Drosophila melanogaster: one gene and its partners. The protein of the gene in region 1 interacts with the protein of each later gene in a pairwise test. Each region holds a gene or a part of one and is shown on either strand. Other genes may lie near its edges.

What was found. Proteins that work in one complex are often made in the same cells at the same time.
Region 2: the proteins of BOD1 (region 1) and PPO2 interact in a two-hybrid assay, tested with the Drosophila melanogaster proteins (one large-scale study listed by BioGRID).
Region 3: the proteins of BOD1 (region 1) and CG4743 interact in a two-hybrid assay, tested with the Drosophila melanogaster proteins (one large-scale study listed by BioGRID).

Annotation. Positions count from the first base shown.
Region 1 is NT_033777.3:27,936,786-27,943,336, forward strand, and holds BOD1 (biorientation defective 1), read left to right. Parts: upstream 1-1,776; 5' UTR 1,777-1,909; coding exon 1,910-2,133; intron 2,134-2,191; coding exon 2,192-2,862; intron 2,863-2,921; coding exon 2,922-5,348; intron 5,349-5,649; coding exon of another isoform or gene 5,650-5,657; exon of another isoform or gene 5,658-5,799; coding exon 5,800-5,933; 3' UTR 5,934-5,993; downstream 5,994-6,551. Other genes in the region: NSD (nuclear receptor binding SET domain protein), read right to left, coding at 1-552, 646-964.
Region 2 is NT_033778.4:9,041,761-9,046,555, forward strand, and holds PPO2 (prophenoloxidase 2), read right to left. Parts: upstream 2,950-4,795; 5' UTR 2,861-2,949; coding exon 1,877-2,860; intron 1,822-1,876; coding exon 1,726-1,821; intron 1,668-1,725; coding exon 906-1,667; intron 850-905; coding exon 637-849; 3' UTR 501-636; downstream 1-500. Other genes in the region: Ance-4, read right to left, coding at 1-51, 286-327; CG13743 (uncharacterized protein), read right to left, coding at 4,746-4,795. UniProt on the Drosophila melanogaster protein: This is a copper-containing oxidase that functions in the formation of pigments such as melanins and other polyphenolic compounds.
Region 3 is NT_033777.3:25,678,742-25,682,488, reverse strand, and holds CG4743 (uncharacterized protein), read left to right. Parts: upstream 1-1,938; 5' UTR 1,939-2,002; coding exon 2,003-2,098; intron 2,099-2,150; coding exon 2,151-2,417; intron 2,418-2,480; coding exon 2,481-2,896; intron 2,897-2,959; exon of another isoform or gene 2,960-3,008; coding exon 3,009-3,123; 3' UTR 3,124-3,247; downstream 3,248-3,747. Other genes in the region: Idh3g (isocitrate dehydrogenase (NAD(+)) 3 non-catalytic subunit gamma), read right to left, coding at 58-133, 198-384, 444-1,223, 1,291-1,368, 1,466-1,522; CG5039 (uncharacterized protein), read right to left, coding at 3,249-3,275, 3,331-3,516, 3,590-3,712. UniProt on the Drosophila melanogaster protein: Mitochondrial solute carriers shuttle metabolites, nucleotides, and cofactors through the mitochondrial inner membrane. May mediate the transport of S-adenosylmethionine (SAM) into the mitochondria.

The DNA of each region.
Region 1 (6,551 bases):
TCTCTGATTTAATGGAGATCGCGGTAGTTTGAGCCTCTTGAGTTGGGGCTTCATCTGTCCGGTCAACTTCCTCATCTATTGGCTCCGTTTTTACTGACTTTTCGTCAACCTCTTGCTGGTTTTTTTCGTCCAGTTCGAGGGTTACTTTCGCCTTCGGCACTCTTTTCATTTTGCGCTTTACGTGCTTGCGAACGATTGGCCGTATGCCCAGGTCCTCGGAGCCCGCCTCGAAACCGGTGCTGTTGGGCGAACTAGCGCCGTTTTTGATTAGCAGCTTCTCGATGGGGCTCATGTAGGTCTTGCTGAGCAGCTGATTAGCGCTATCATCTCCACCACCTCCTCCTCCTCCCCCGGGGGTCCTTGGTGACGCATTATCATGGGCCAGGGTCTCGCCAGCACTGCTGTTATTTAAAGCCGCCGCTTGGTTAACGCGTCGCCTCGTCGTGCGTATTGTGTCATCGGAATCGGAAAGCGGCGTGGGTGAGTTGGCATTGGCATAGCCAATATATTTGGGGCTCAGCGCCGACTGCAAGTTGATAAGATCTCGTTTCCCTAAAGCAGCACACACAGGCGCACACACAAAAGCAGATATATTAGCATATGGACGGCATACGGCGGGGTATATTGCGCCATTGTTACACTTACTGTTCACCATGGACACACGCTGTTGTTGCTGTTTTTGGACTGGCGTCTGCCGCTGACTCTCCAGCTCCGACTCCTCCGCCGCGGGCTGTGCGCCGTTCTGCACCGGGTTTTGGCCGGGCTTGTCCAGCAGTCGAACCGGAGTGCTGTTGTTGGTGTCCCTCGGAATTTCGACATCATCGCCTTCGGTGGCCACCGACTCGTCGTTGCCCGCAGCCACTTCGTCGGTGGCGGTCAGGGAATCGGACGCGGAGTTGCACAGCACATTGCCGTGGGCAGCGTCGCCCTCGATCTCGGAGTGCGCGTCCGTGCTCAGCTTCATTCTGCGGTCCAGTTTAATCGCGCTCTCGTCAATTAAACACTACCGTTAATTCGACAATTTCTAAGAACACAGAGGCTTCGCTTGCGCCAAAACTTCGACTGCAACCGTGGGCATCGCGGTAGCTATCGATCCATCGATACGATCGCTGAAAGATAGGCGTCACACATTCCTATCGATTATACTTAGCCAAGATTCGCACCGTAATGCACAGTGAGGCGAAGTGTTTTCTTTTACTTATAGTATAGTTATATAATTAATAATAATTTTTATAATAATTTTTGAACTAAATCATAAGCGCCGCGGGGTGTTCTTTTATTCGCTCTCAGGCACGTCATCCAATACAAATTTCTAACTACAGGTTTCTAAACCTTCTATATAAATTTTTTGAAAAGGTTCCTTAGCCACGACTGAGGTACTACACTGGCCAGGGGACTTCGTTACAGATTGTTTTTATAATAGTTATTCGGAGTTAACAGATACTGCCATGTATTGTTGTTTTCCAAAACTAAATATTTTAACTTTAACTCAATTCTTTCACCTTACCGAAAACAACGTGAATACCTGAATTTTACATTAATATGAACATTTAAGTTCTTAATGTATAGCTGATTAAATGCAACTTGGCTTTAAAGGTAAAAACTCGGTGGCACAAATATTTCTATACTTTATTATTCTTTCATTCATAACTCAAAAGTAAAAATGTATCTGTATCTGCAATTCGTCAAATTTGGCTAGTAAAACTGAGAAGTTGGCATAGCTACCGCTCACGCACGACGCCCGGATCCAATCAGGGCGAAACTCACGTGGGGCGGCCATCCCTAGCGTAAACATATGTACATACATGTAAACGCATGTAAAGACAAACTCGACGTTTATCCTGGATTTCCTCGGCACTCACGGGTGTTGCGGCAAGCAAAAGCACACGAATAACAAGGGCCAAGGAGCATGGACGACTTTATCAAGACACTGATTGCCGAGGTGAAGTCGCAGGGCGTCTTCGACGAATTCCGATTCAACTGCTGCCTGGCGGACGTGGACACGAAGCCCGCCTACCAGAATGTGCGCACCCAGGTGGAGACGGCGGTCAACGATTTTCTGGCCAAGCAGCAATGGACGCCCGAGACCAACAAGGTCCAGCTGCGAGAGAGGCTGCGCAAGCACCTTATGGAGTGAGTATGCTTCTGGCGGGGCTTGGGTAACCTGGGGTAATCACATCGACTGTTTCAGCTCCGATGTCCTGGACAAGGGAGTGGACCAAATCGTGGACCAGGTGGTCAATCCCAAGGTGGCTACCATATTCGAGCCAAAGATCGAGAGCATTGTCTACAAGTACCTGGGCATCACACCACCTGCGCGACCCACTATGCTGTCAGCTCCGCCTTTGCCGCCATTTGGTGCCCACTTGAACGGCAGCAGCCTGCTCAATGTGGAGACCACGGTTGGTCTGCTGCCCACGGACCTGGAGCAGATAAGTCCAGACTCCGATCGGGCTACCGTCAAGTCGGAGTCGAGGGATGACGAACTTCCGCCCGGTGTAGACGACGAGGACACTTCGCCATCCTACGAGCTAGTGAGCGAGCGGAAAACACTTGCCATCAAGGAGGAGCTGAACAACGTTTCGTTGAATAACTCGGATTCGGTGAACGGCGTCTCCCAGGCGTCGCAACTTTCGCAGGTTTCCAGTGACAGCCGCCTGACCATGGCGTCGTCCACGGAGTCCATGGTTGATAGCCACCAGCACACAGCAGCTCACAACAGTGGGGAGCCAGAGAACATTTGCGAGGAAGCGCAAATGCCAAAGTTCAGCGAAAACTCTTGGGATGCTAGTGCGGGAACAGGCCGAAGCGAAGGTCGACAGCTTCACTTCGACATCAAACAGGATGCCATTACCTTCGAAGGTGGGTTTGCCGGGCGCCACGATGGGTTATTTAACTTCTACGATTTCTTTTTCGTGCAGGTACTGAGCGAAAGAACTCGGTGTCGGAGACGACTAGCACAGGCCTCCAAATTCTTTCCATCGAGGATGAGATCATGTCGGAGGTGAAGGCAAACATAGACGACGCCAACAATGCCAGTATTGAGTCTATAGCACCGGAGCCTGTACAAGTGCCAGCACCGCCGAAAGTTAATCCGCCTCCTCCTCCGCGGCCAGCCTCGCCAAAAGTAGAGCCTCCTCCGCCGGCACCACCAGGAGTTGAGTCGCCGCCAGGGCCCCAACCACCAGCGTCACCTCGTTTTGATCCACCTCCACCACATACAATTGAGCCACCGCCACCACCAGCACCACCAACACTTGTGCCACCGCCACCACCAGCACCACCAACAATTAAGCCACCGCCACCCCCAGCACCACCTACAGTTGAGCCACCGCCACCACCACCACCAGCACCACCTACAGTTGAACCGCCGCCACCACCACCACCAGCACCAACTAAAGTTGAACCACCTCCTCCACCGGCACCAGCTGAAGTTGAACCACCTCCTCCACCGGCACCCACAGAACTTGAACCACCTCCTCCTCCAGCACCACCGAAAGTCGAGCTTCCTCCTCCGCCAGCCCCACCAAAAGCTGAGGCAGCTATAACGCCCCGAAGGGCGAAAGGTAGTAATGGATTCATCACAGAGCTGGCCGTGACACCCAAGGAGTCGGAAACTCGGGATAAACCACACAATGTAAACACGGATGTCAAAGAAGATGAGCAACCAGCAACAACTGAAGACAAGCAAGATAAACCCCTAGAGCTTGGATTGGATGCACCAAAAGACGCTGTTAGCACAGCGTCTGAGTCCACGGAGTCGCCAACATCCACGTCCTCGCAATCAAAAAGCCATTCGAAGTCTAGGGATAAGGAAAAGGAAAAGGATCGGCGACACCACAGGCACTCAGATGACAAACACCGGCGAAGGAGCACAGATCGGGACCGCGATCGTAGTCGCGACAAATCGCACAGCAAGCATTCCTCGAGTTCCAGCTCGAAGCACTCCTCATCGAACTCCTCCAGCTCGAAGCATAAGAGTAGTAGCTCCAAGAACGATAAGAGCTCCTCAAGTTCATCTAGCCGGAGTAATCGAGAGTCGTCGTCATCCAAGCGCTCGGGAACCACTTCTTCATCACGCCACGAATCTTCCTCACACAAAAAACACAAGTCCAGTTCATCATCCTCGCGATCGGAACGAGATAAAGGCAAGGAGAAGGATAAGGAAAGGGAAAAGGACAGCCAAAGTCGCAGCCACCACAGCAGTAGCAGTTCCTCGTCGTCGTCAAGGAGAAAAGATCACGACCGAGGCCGCGATCGTGATCGTAACAAATCAAACACTTCTGGCAGTGCAGAGAACAAGGCTATCCACGATGATCATAGCGAGAGCAAAGAAAAGTATAAGCAGCGTCGGGGTTCCGACTCAAACGACGAGGGGAAGCCTCCAAGTTCTGGTGGTCCGGCCAAGAACTCCCAGCCGGAGGATTCAGCAGCTACAATGAAATCAGATGCGCCCGTGGAGAATGCTAACGGCACGAATGGAAACTCCAACGGCAGCACCAATGGTGCTTGCGACAATGTCAGCGGTGTTGTCATCGTGAGCGACATCCTGCAGCAATCGACGAGCAGTTTTGTTGAACTGACCGCTGGATCCCAATCGCATGACAGAGCGGAGAGCAGTAAGCATGAACCCGAAGATATAGACGGAAAAGAGGCGGATAATCAGCCGGAAAAAACAGAATTGGAGGCAAGGCAAGACGAGTGTGCTTCGCAGAATGAAGTGCCAACTGTAGAACCTCAAACTTTAGCTGACTCCGTTCCCGATTTGCCAGCCAAGGAAAGCATGGATACATTGGAAGACGAAAAGGTAGAGACCAATGTCGAAGAGAATAAGTCAGAAGAGGAGAGCAAACCGGAAAATCCTCCCGAAGAGTGCGTCGACGAACCTGCTCAAGTCGGCGATGTGGAGGATCCACCGCAAGATGCTGACAAACCCGCCACACCAGTCCCAATCTCGAATGAGCAAAGCGACGAATTTAGTGCCGACTTTGTGACCCACTTCGAAGAAAACACAGACGAGTTTAGGACGCGTCTGCAGCTCATCAATCAACTGATAGAGGATCGAAAGAATTTGCTTAACAGGTTAAGTGAGGATGGAACACAGGAGGAGGCAGTGGATATACGTGCCTTGCGACGCAGCCTCTCCAAGCGAAGACGGAGCAGCATGCAGGAGCAGCATCGAGTGGAGCGGGAAACGACACCGCCGCAGCCTAGAAGTCCGAGCAGCAGCAGCACCGCCGGCAGTCCGGCAAAGAGACTGCGACAGGACGAGCCCAAGTCATCGCCAACACCATCTGACGCCAGCATAAACTCGAAGGAGAACGAGGCACTGGAGAAGCAGGAGCATGGTGCGTACTGTATCATTGCTAAGTTTCATTTGGTGTAGCATTTGTTCCTCGAATCTCTCTTTTGCTAACTCTCACAAAGGGTGGATCGATGCAATTGAATTGTCGTATGTCTTAACGTTTAGTGAAAATCAAGTAAAAATTGATAATAAAGTCTATAATTAACACAAATCGATCCACCCTGCGAATGTGATCTACATACATACATCTCTGTTCTCATGCTCATCCTCAATATTCTTCTTTACCGCCTCTATTTTCTCCCCCACACGCATCCGCATTGTTAACTAATATACATAATATGTAGCTGTATGAAGCCACCACTAGTAGTCCTAACCAAACCGCAATGGAGCTGGGTAAGCGGTTCCCGCGCGATTCTCTGTCCTTTGCCCGCCGATTGTTGATGCTTCGAGCGATTCCCGTGAATGCGTGTGACTAAAGTGCTTGTTTTTATCAGCAGACGCCCTGTCCGCCAGGCGACTCAGCAAGAAGCTCTGCCAGCAGCAGCGGTACACCAACGATGATCTCTACAAGCCCCGTCCAATCCTGTCGCAGCGCTCTCGTCGCCGGGGCCTGGACTCCATTCTCTAGCCAACGGATAACCTGTTATCGGAAACAATAAAAGGCAATTGTTGTTAATGCATTTGACATAAAACAAGTCTTCGTTTCTTTCATCCGTTTAATGGGCCATTTCGCTTGCCAATGGTTTTGCTTCCGCTTGTTTTTTTTTCGTTTGAATTCTTTAACAATAAAATTGTAATTTAGCGCTACACCTTACAGTTTAATAGTCGCCGGTGCAGCATATCCATATATATTATGCATATATATAAACAAAAATAACAGTGAACGTAATAATATGATGCATTATTGTATATTTTGGGCGATCCACTAGCCTTGATCCCCGGCACTCAACTGCGTCTGCTACTCAAGGATGTGGAACTCTAGCACTGAGACGAGGATAATGTGTGATGATAGATCGAAACAGTCGAGTGCGTGGAGCAAGGACAATGGACATAGCTAGGCTACGGCTCTCTACATGGGGCTGGTTAGTTATAGTACCGGGTGTAGATTATGGGGCATTGTAGGTCTGGGGGAGACGTAGTTCTCTGGGAGCTGTTTTCTGCTGTATCTGCTGTTCCTTATATTTTGTAACATCTCAGTTTGAAGATTTCGGCTGTAATTTGATTACAAATTATTGAATTTTTCCTT
Region 2 (4,795 bases), on another chromosome or scaffold:
ATTCACAAACGTCTTGGCCTCCAGGTCAATGTTGGCTGCTGCAGTTGCGCACTAAAATAAATGACAATCAATTAAAAGCAGCAAATTCACTTACAATATTATTGCTATTACAGGCTTAGTTTAGTCTAGGTCTTCTAAGTATCCTCAAACTATATAGAAACTGACACGCATCTAAATGAAACATATTTCAAACACGCAAAATTATGATTTAAAGTTATCTAAAGACCACATCTTTTTGTGGGATCTTTGTGGACCCATAGATTATTTAATCGGTACAGTGCTTACGCCAATGCCCGCTATCAGCACCAGAAGCAGCAGCAGGCCCATCTCCTCGGGAATCGGTTTCACTTTCGCACTCAACACCGGATCTGCTCGAACTGAGGTGCTCCGGCCGTGGAGCTGGCATTTAAAGCTTCTCCCGGGCGGCTGATAAGCCTAATCAGCGAGAGATTCTCGCCCGGAGGCCGAGCCACAATAATTGAGAACAAAAGTGGGATTGTGGAATGCCATGATGTCTTGTTTATTAAGCGGCTCAATAAAGATGCAATAGATTGCTAAGAGTTGTATATCTAGAAGTGGGCGAGGTCATGGAATCGGGTCAGGGCGAATCGGGAAAGCGAATCAGGTGCGGATCGTCTAGTTTGGGCGCTGCACGGTGCGGTTCTCGTGGCGGATGTTCACGTCCACGATGCTCATGTTGGGCGTGAGGAAGTTAACCAGGCGGTCGACTCCGCTGCGGGGCAACCTGTCGAAGGGGAATCCCATGGACTGGCGATCCGGGTAAAGACGGTCACGGACGCCACAGTAGGAAGCGGCATCGCTGCACCGACCCACCAATTGCTGGTCAATCTGGAGGTGGAGATAATTGTCAAAAATATCCTTGATTTACTAGCCAGCTAACATACCCTGTCGTTCTCATAGTTCGACACCATGATGAACAGCACGCACTGCAGTCCCTCGGGCAGACCCTTTGGCACCAGCATGTGGTTGGGCCAGCCGCAGCCGCAGAAGTTGAACTCCAGCTCCTCCGGAGTGCCGGCCGCCGGACGATTGGCATCCAGGTTGCGGAAGGTGCGCTCGAACGGAATGGTCACGCTCGACTCCGTGGAGCGGCGGCGGATGGTGTTGGGTCCCGGGTTCAGCGAAGTCACGAACTTGTCCAGCTCGATCATCATGGAGCGCTGATCTCGCATCAGCATGGGCTGGCCACGCTCGTCGTTCTTCGGCGCCATGAAGATGCGCACGTAGCCGAAACGCTGGGCACCACTATCGTTGTTCAAACTGATGGTATAGGTGAAGGGCAGATGCTGCAGGTGGGTGAACCTGGCGAAGACATTACCTCGCGGCAGGAAGTCGAAGCCACGGGACATGTCCACGTCCGACTGCTGCCAGAAGGTGGTCAGATTATTGGGACGACCTCCATTGGTGTCCACCTGGATGCCCGCGATCGAGACGCCCGGGTAGTTTAGTTGGTTCTCGGTATAGGCGGGCAGGCGCGACTTGTGCTCCTGGAAGATGCGGTCGATGTACGAGTGCCACTTGTAGAAGACCGGGTCGCGCATGGCCGTGGACACATCACCCATCACGCCAAAGGACTCCAGGTGCTTGCTGGTCGGATCGTGGGCGTACGAGATGAAGGTGTGTCCGTTGTTGTGCAGGTCACCATACTAGGGGAGCAATAGGATTAATCCCTAGAATAATTTACTAAGGGTAAGGACTTATTACCAGCACTCGGTTGGGCGACAGAATGGATGATTCAATCATGTTGCCGAGGGTATCAATGCCCGTCGCCTCATCCAATGGCACCCGGTTGCCACGCTCCTGAAAGGGAATATGGCATGTTATTTAGTTAATGGAAAACCCACCAACAACTCACATCCATGACAAATCCTTGGTGAATGGCCTCGTAGATGCGATCACGCCAACGCTCCAGATCTCCAATCTCCACATTCAGCTGGTCGGACTCCCGGTTGAGATCGCTCAACCTGGTGCTCTCGAAGCGCGGTGGCCACGCGCGGCTGGCTACCAGAGAGTCCATCTTGGGGAAGTAGCCCTCGGCAATGGGATCCCTCAGGTTGTTGAAGGGCAGAACCCTGGCCAGGTTGTTGCTGAACCGCTCCGCATTGTAGCGGGCGATCACCTGCTGGTGCATGTAGTAGAAGAGCTCGCCACGACGATCCTTGGCCACTATGCTGCGGTCGGAGGCCTCGAAGGGGTAGACCAGATGCCAATGCCAGTGGTGAAGGTTGATGCCCAGATCCTCGCGGAAGTACCACAGCCGGTGCTCGGGATCCAGATCGGAGGCGGTGTAGTCCCTGGGAATGGTGATGGGCATCCGGGAACCGGGCTGCACCACAAAAGACTCCTCCCGCATCTTGCGGATCACCTGCGAGTCGATGAAGCGGTCGGGGAAAGTCTGCGAGAAGGATGGCAGATCCAGGCCCTGGGTGTCCGGACGATGGAGCAGCGCCACCGACAAGGCGTAGTTGAAGAGCACCGGGTTGACCCGATCCCTGGCGTACACCGCCACGCTCTGCAGGTCGTCCACGGAGCGCATGTTCATGAATATATCGATCAGGCGGCCGGCGATCCTGCGGTGCTTGGGCAGGAACAGCGAGAACTGCTCGTCCCGGCCCAGGGACATGGGGATCCGCAGATCGGGAATGGAGATCTCCCGGACTGGAACGCGCTGCTCCACCTTGTCGCCGACGCGGCTCTGCACCTCGTTGCTGATGGGTCGGTAGCGGTCGGTCAGGAAGGAGTCGGGCACATCGAACACGGTCACCCTCTTGCCCTTGTCCATGAACACTGGCTCGGTGGGATGGTCGAAAAGCAGGAGGAGATTCTTCTTGTCGGCCATTTTCAATGGGATGTCAGGGAGGACCTGCTGGATCGCGGAGCAAACTAAATGGGGAATGTGACTGGAAGTCTGGGAACTTCACGACTGTGACTATTCACCGAAAGAACTGCACATTTTATACAAAACTTCGAAGGCACTAGTATCGGTTTTGAAAACCACAAGAACGCCTGAGAATTGAAATTGTCGACAAATTGCGGCGATAAGGATATAGTATGGAAACCGCAGTGTTGTTTTAGCATATTTCTAAAATGCAGTTTTATTATTTCAAGAGTATTTCATTTGGTTTTGCTTTAGCTTATCTATACATATATACTATTGGAATGAAATCGGATTTTGTTATCTCTGGGATATGCCTGCGTTGTAAATCAAAACTTCTCTACGCACACGATCCTCCGGTCAGATAGCATCACATCTAAACAATTTAATATAATAGTATGTATATATATGTAGCTACATGCATAATACGGCAATAATAGTTATTACAATTCGGCTATAATCGATCAATTCGTCCCTAATTCCCTACTACTGCTTTGATATACAATACATATATTTATTTAGCATAGCGCTAAAAAGAGAGATACAACGAGATATTTGGCGAGTGAAGAGATGAGCAATATCGTACGACAAGCGGATCTACATATATATAGCGTGTATATACAGGAAGTCTGTGGAAATTGTATGCTGCTGTTTCCGTTTCCGTTCTCGTATTCGTTGTGTAAAAGCGATAGGTTCAGTTGGTTAGTTGTTTAGATCTTGTAAAATGTATCTCAGAAAAGCCCTGGGCATGTCCCGTGTTCCTTGGCCATGATATGTAGTGTTTAAGCTCTTAGAATATAGAGTTGTGGGGTCTTCAGCTTGGTTCCGATCTCTCAGCCCGAAGAGAAAGTAAGAGGTGATGGCTTTTGTGTGAGTGTAAAGACTTTAATCACATCCAAAAATGCATACACATGTATTTACATAATATCGTGCAGTATAAACCAAGAGTTGTACAAAAATATATCTATGTTTCTGTATATATAAATATTCGATCGTGTTCGGTGTACATATGCAATTCAAAACAGAATTCAGTGCCGTTAACAACTCAAAACTGTTGTTCAAATCGATGTGTTGATGGGGATATATTGTAGTTTGATTTTAGTTCGGTTCAAGCGCATTTTTATCTACCCTTGTATACATATACATACATATAAAACTGGGGAATACGATCCGGTAACGTCGGGGCATACATAGTTACAAATAGTTCTCGGTACATACATATAATACTTGTTCGATTTCGTTTTCGATTTTGATTCACTTCTCAACTTGGGGAGTCGGTTGTCTCTAAGGATTGCATGTGTATATTGGTGCCCAAATAGTTTCAGACTACGCTAAAGCTACGGATAACATCTAGTTCTAGTTCGGTTTAGTTTGCCTTTGCTCGTTTCTTTCGATTCAATTCAATTCAAATCGCTTGCTCAACTTGATGGCTTCAAAGTACAGAGTACGGAGTACACACACACTTATATATCGAGGAACTTTCACTACTTTCAACAATATCGACATCAACAACGGGGATCCAACGAAATGTACACTTTAAACGACTATCCGGTGCAAATATACATGGGTTACTCGATCGGAGAGAATGCCTGGCCTTTGTACTGAGGTTCGCCCGTATCACACATCCGCTATCCGCTATCCACTAATCCAATTCAACACTGTGCCTACTACTTACTTACGCAGATACTTTGAACGTCTGGGACTCAGGTACAAGTTTCTTTCGATGCGACGTGGTGCAGCTGTATTAACCGAAGGTCAAATCAGAAGTTTCAACCCAAAAACCCAAACCATAAAAATGCGATCCCAACCCGCGCGCCCCACATCGTGGGCTGACTTCCGTTCCGTTAACTTAGTTCGAGGAGGTGGTGTTCTGAAACTCCTGCCGGCAGTAACCCATCA
Region 3 (3,747 bases), 2.3 Mb from region 1:
GTGACAGCGAAATAAAAGAACATATAGAACTACTCTAAATGCAGACGATTATTTTACCAATTCACGCGCTTGGCACTCAAGATCTTGAGTATATTCTCAACCACATCGGTACTGGAGTTGGTGCCGCCAATATCTGTAAGAGATTTAGATGATAAAGGTGATTCTGTTTATTGAATAACTACGAGAGACGTGATCACCTGGCGTGCGAATGGCATCGTTGACAATGGTCTGGTAGACGGCCTCCTGAATGACATTGGCGTGCTCCTTGTGGCCCAGATGGTTCAACATATCGATACTGGCACTGATCATGGCCACAGGGTTGGCGATATTCTTGCCGGCAATGGCGGTTCCGGTGTTACGGGTGCCAGGCTCAAAGATGGCGTACTAAAATTATATGACAAAACTGAAAGACTATGGGTTAAGCAAAAGAGAAAGAGACTTACATGGTCACCGTAGTTCCTGCCGGATATGAGGCCAGCTCCGCCCATCAAACCGCAAAGAACATTGGACACGATGGTGCCGTACAGATTGGTCATGTTCATCACGTCGAACTGGTGAGGATTCGACACGGACTGCATGCAGGTGTTGTCGATAATCATGTTGTTGTGCTCCAGTTCGGGATAGTCCTTGTGCACACGGTTGGCAACCTCCAGGAAGAGACCATCGGACAGCTTCATGATGTTGGCCTTGTGAATGGTGGTAACCTTCTTGCGATTGTTTTGGCGGGCGAACTCAAAGGCGTAGCGGGCCACACGCTCGGCATTCTCGACGGTCACCACTTTCATGCTCTCCACAATTCCGGGCACAGACTCATGTTCCAACATGGCGTACTCGCCATCGGTGTTTTGGCGGATGAGCACCACGTCAATGTCGTGATGGCGGGCCGGAATGCCCGGATACGACTTGCAGTGCACCACATTGACGTACAGATCCAGCTCGTTACGGATGGCCACGTTGCGGGAGACTTCGGTCAAGGATTGGGACTTGGTCTCGATGTTGCCCTTGAGTGCCACTCCGTTCCTCTTAATCGATGTGATGGCATAGTCCAGATCATCGTTGCCCTCGGTGGAGGGATCGATGTCGATCACCTCGAAATCGATGGGTGCACCGCAATACCGGAAGATCTCGCGCACATAGCCCATCAGTTCAGGACCAATGCCGCCGCCCGGCAGCATGGTGACGGCATGACGACCTCCGTACTGTGCCGAGGGAATATCGGTGCCCTGTTCACGAAGATATATACGGATGCTATAACCTCAATTGGGGGTGAGCTCCAGAGGTTGCACTCACCGTGACTTTCTTCTGCAGCGCCGATTTGGTGTGGGCCACATCCTCGGTCTTCTCCTTGGTCACCAGCAAGGGATAGCCCTACAATTCGAATCGATAAGTACGATCAATAGGATCTGGCAGGCGCGCATTATGTAATTTGCCTTTGTGGGCCAATTTTCCGGCCGAGAAAACTTACGCGAGTGAGGAACGGCGTCTGCGTCTGCAGCAATCTCTGGGTCAAGCGAAGGGCCATGATTTGATCCTTGGATTATTGTTTTCTACCGCTGCAGTTGGTATTCTACTATCAGTTAAATCACAGCCAATTTTATTCCACTTGGCCAAAACGGTGCTGCTGGCTCTTGCCCAGAACCACGGCTTTTCAGGGTTGTCAAGTAAATGGTATTGGTTTTAAAATAATTACTTTGGTGTAAAAAAAATGTATTATAATTATGTGTTTTTGTGAAAAAGCTAACATTTCAATACCATCCTTTTTTTAAGTAACACTTTTGACCAAATAATATATATCTTACATAGAATATATTTATTTGTTATGGTTTCAGCATCTTGGCAACTCTACACCAAGCAGCTGTTATCTGCAGACCTGCCAGATCAGCAAAAAGCAGCTGACTGTTACGTTAACAACCACATTTTATGTTTTTGTTTACTAAAACAACTTTAGTTAATACTCCGACGGGATGACTTAAAGTGGATGCCCCAACATCATTTCTAGGACATGGCAGCGGAATTGGGTCTGGAATCGGCCGCGGGGTCCGTGGCAATCAAAATGCAAGAGCCGGTCAATAAATTAAAATTTTTCCATGCACTTGTTGTAAGTAGATGAAAATTAAATGAAAAGTTAGTTCTTAAATAATTAGTTTTAGGCAGGAGGAGTGGCTGGAATGGTAGTGGACATAGCGCTGTTTCCCATAGATACAGTGAAGACCCGACTGCAAAGCGAGCTGGGCTTTTGGCGGGCAGGAGGATTCAGGGGCATCTACAAAGGACTCGCTCCTGCGGCTGCAGGAAGTGCTCCCACGGCGGCCCTGTTTTTCTGCACCTACGAGTGCGGAAAGCAGTTCCTTAGTTCGGTCACCCAAACCAAAGATTCACCCTATGTTCACATGGCAGCGGCTTCAGCAGCAGAAGTGGTAGGATTTCATATAAAACTGAGCACCTCGTATTTAGATCTGAAGAATCTCTGTATCCAATAGTTGGCATGCTTGATCCGAGTTCCCGTGGAGATTGCCAAGCAACGCTCCCAAACATTGCAGGGCAACAAACAGTCCGGCCTGCAAATTCTACTGCGTGCCTATCGCACTGAGGGATTGAAACGTGGTCTGTACAGGGGATTTGGTTCCACTATCATGCGGGAGATTCCATTTAGTCTGATACAGTTTCCGCTCTGGGAGTACTTTAAGCTGCAATGGACTCCCCTGACCGGCTTCGATTCCACTCCTTTTTCGGTGGCTCTTTGTGGAGCTGTCGCTGGAGGCATTTCAGCGGGATTAACTACGCCGCTCGATGTGGTCAAAACCCGAATTATGCTGGCTGAAAGGGAGAGTCTCAACCGACGTCGCAGTGCCCGAAGAATTTTGCATGGCATTTACCTGGAGCGAGGCTTCAGCGGGTAATTATTTCCATATTAGACGCAACTCAAGCTGGTCCTAATATTTAAACACAAATTAACTTTACAAAACTATTTATTACATTTATTAATGTACTTCGATGTTACTTTTCAGTCTGTTTGCTGGCTTTGTGCCGCGTGTGCTGTGGATCACACTGGGCGGTGCATTCTTCTTTGGCTTCTACGACCTGACGACGCGAATCCTTGGCGCCACCAGTACGGATCATTAAAATTAGGGTTATTTTCGTTGTACTTGTAGTAGAGGCACGTAGTTTGCAGTAGTAACTAAACCGATGACAACCACCGTTTGAAGACAACGTGGACAATAAAGTGTATGGAAGACTTTTGAGATTCACTAGGCATTGGAGGCGTTATTCGCTCCCTGTGGAAGAAAAAGGGCTGTGATTGTATTGGGACATTGTCACGAGCTCACTGACATCCTGAATGTGGAGGCGACCAGTGAGGAGAGTAGCAGTAGTCCTTTGATCTCCCAGTTCATCTCCGCAGTCCATGGGCACATCGGAATCCTCCTCATCCACATTGATGTATCCACTTCGCGGAGCCTTCCTGCTCTTTAGGCAATCCCAGGAATTCCGACAGCGACTACGTGACATGGCGTAGACCTGTGTACACCCAAATGCATAAATTAAACAAATGTACATCCACTTAAACAAACAGACTGTGGCGATAACGCACCAGTGCAGCCAGAACGAAAATGCCAACGAGCACGGAAATTGGCAGCCATATGTATTGACCGTCGTCCGGATGCAGTATGTCCGGTTCAGGACTAATGGTCGTCTGAGGCTCAAGTAACTTCATCGTTTTCAGGGGATGTACAAAGAAATCACAACAAC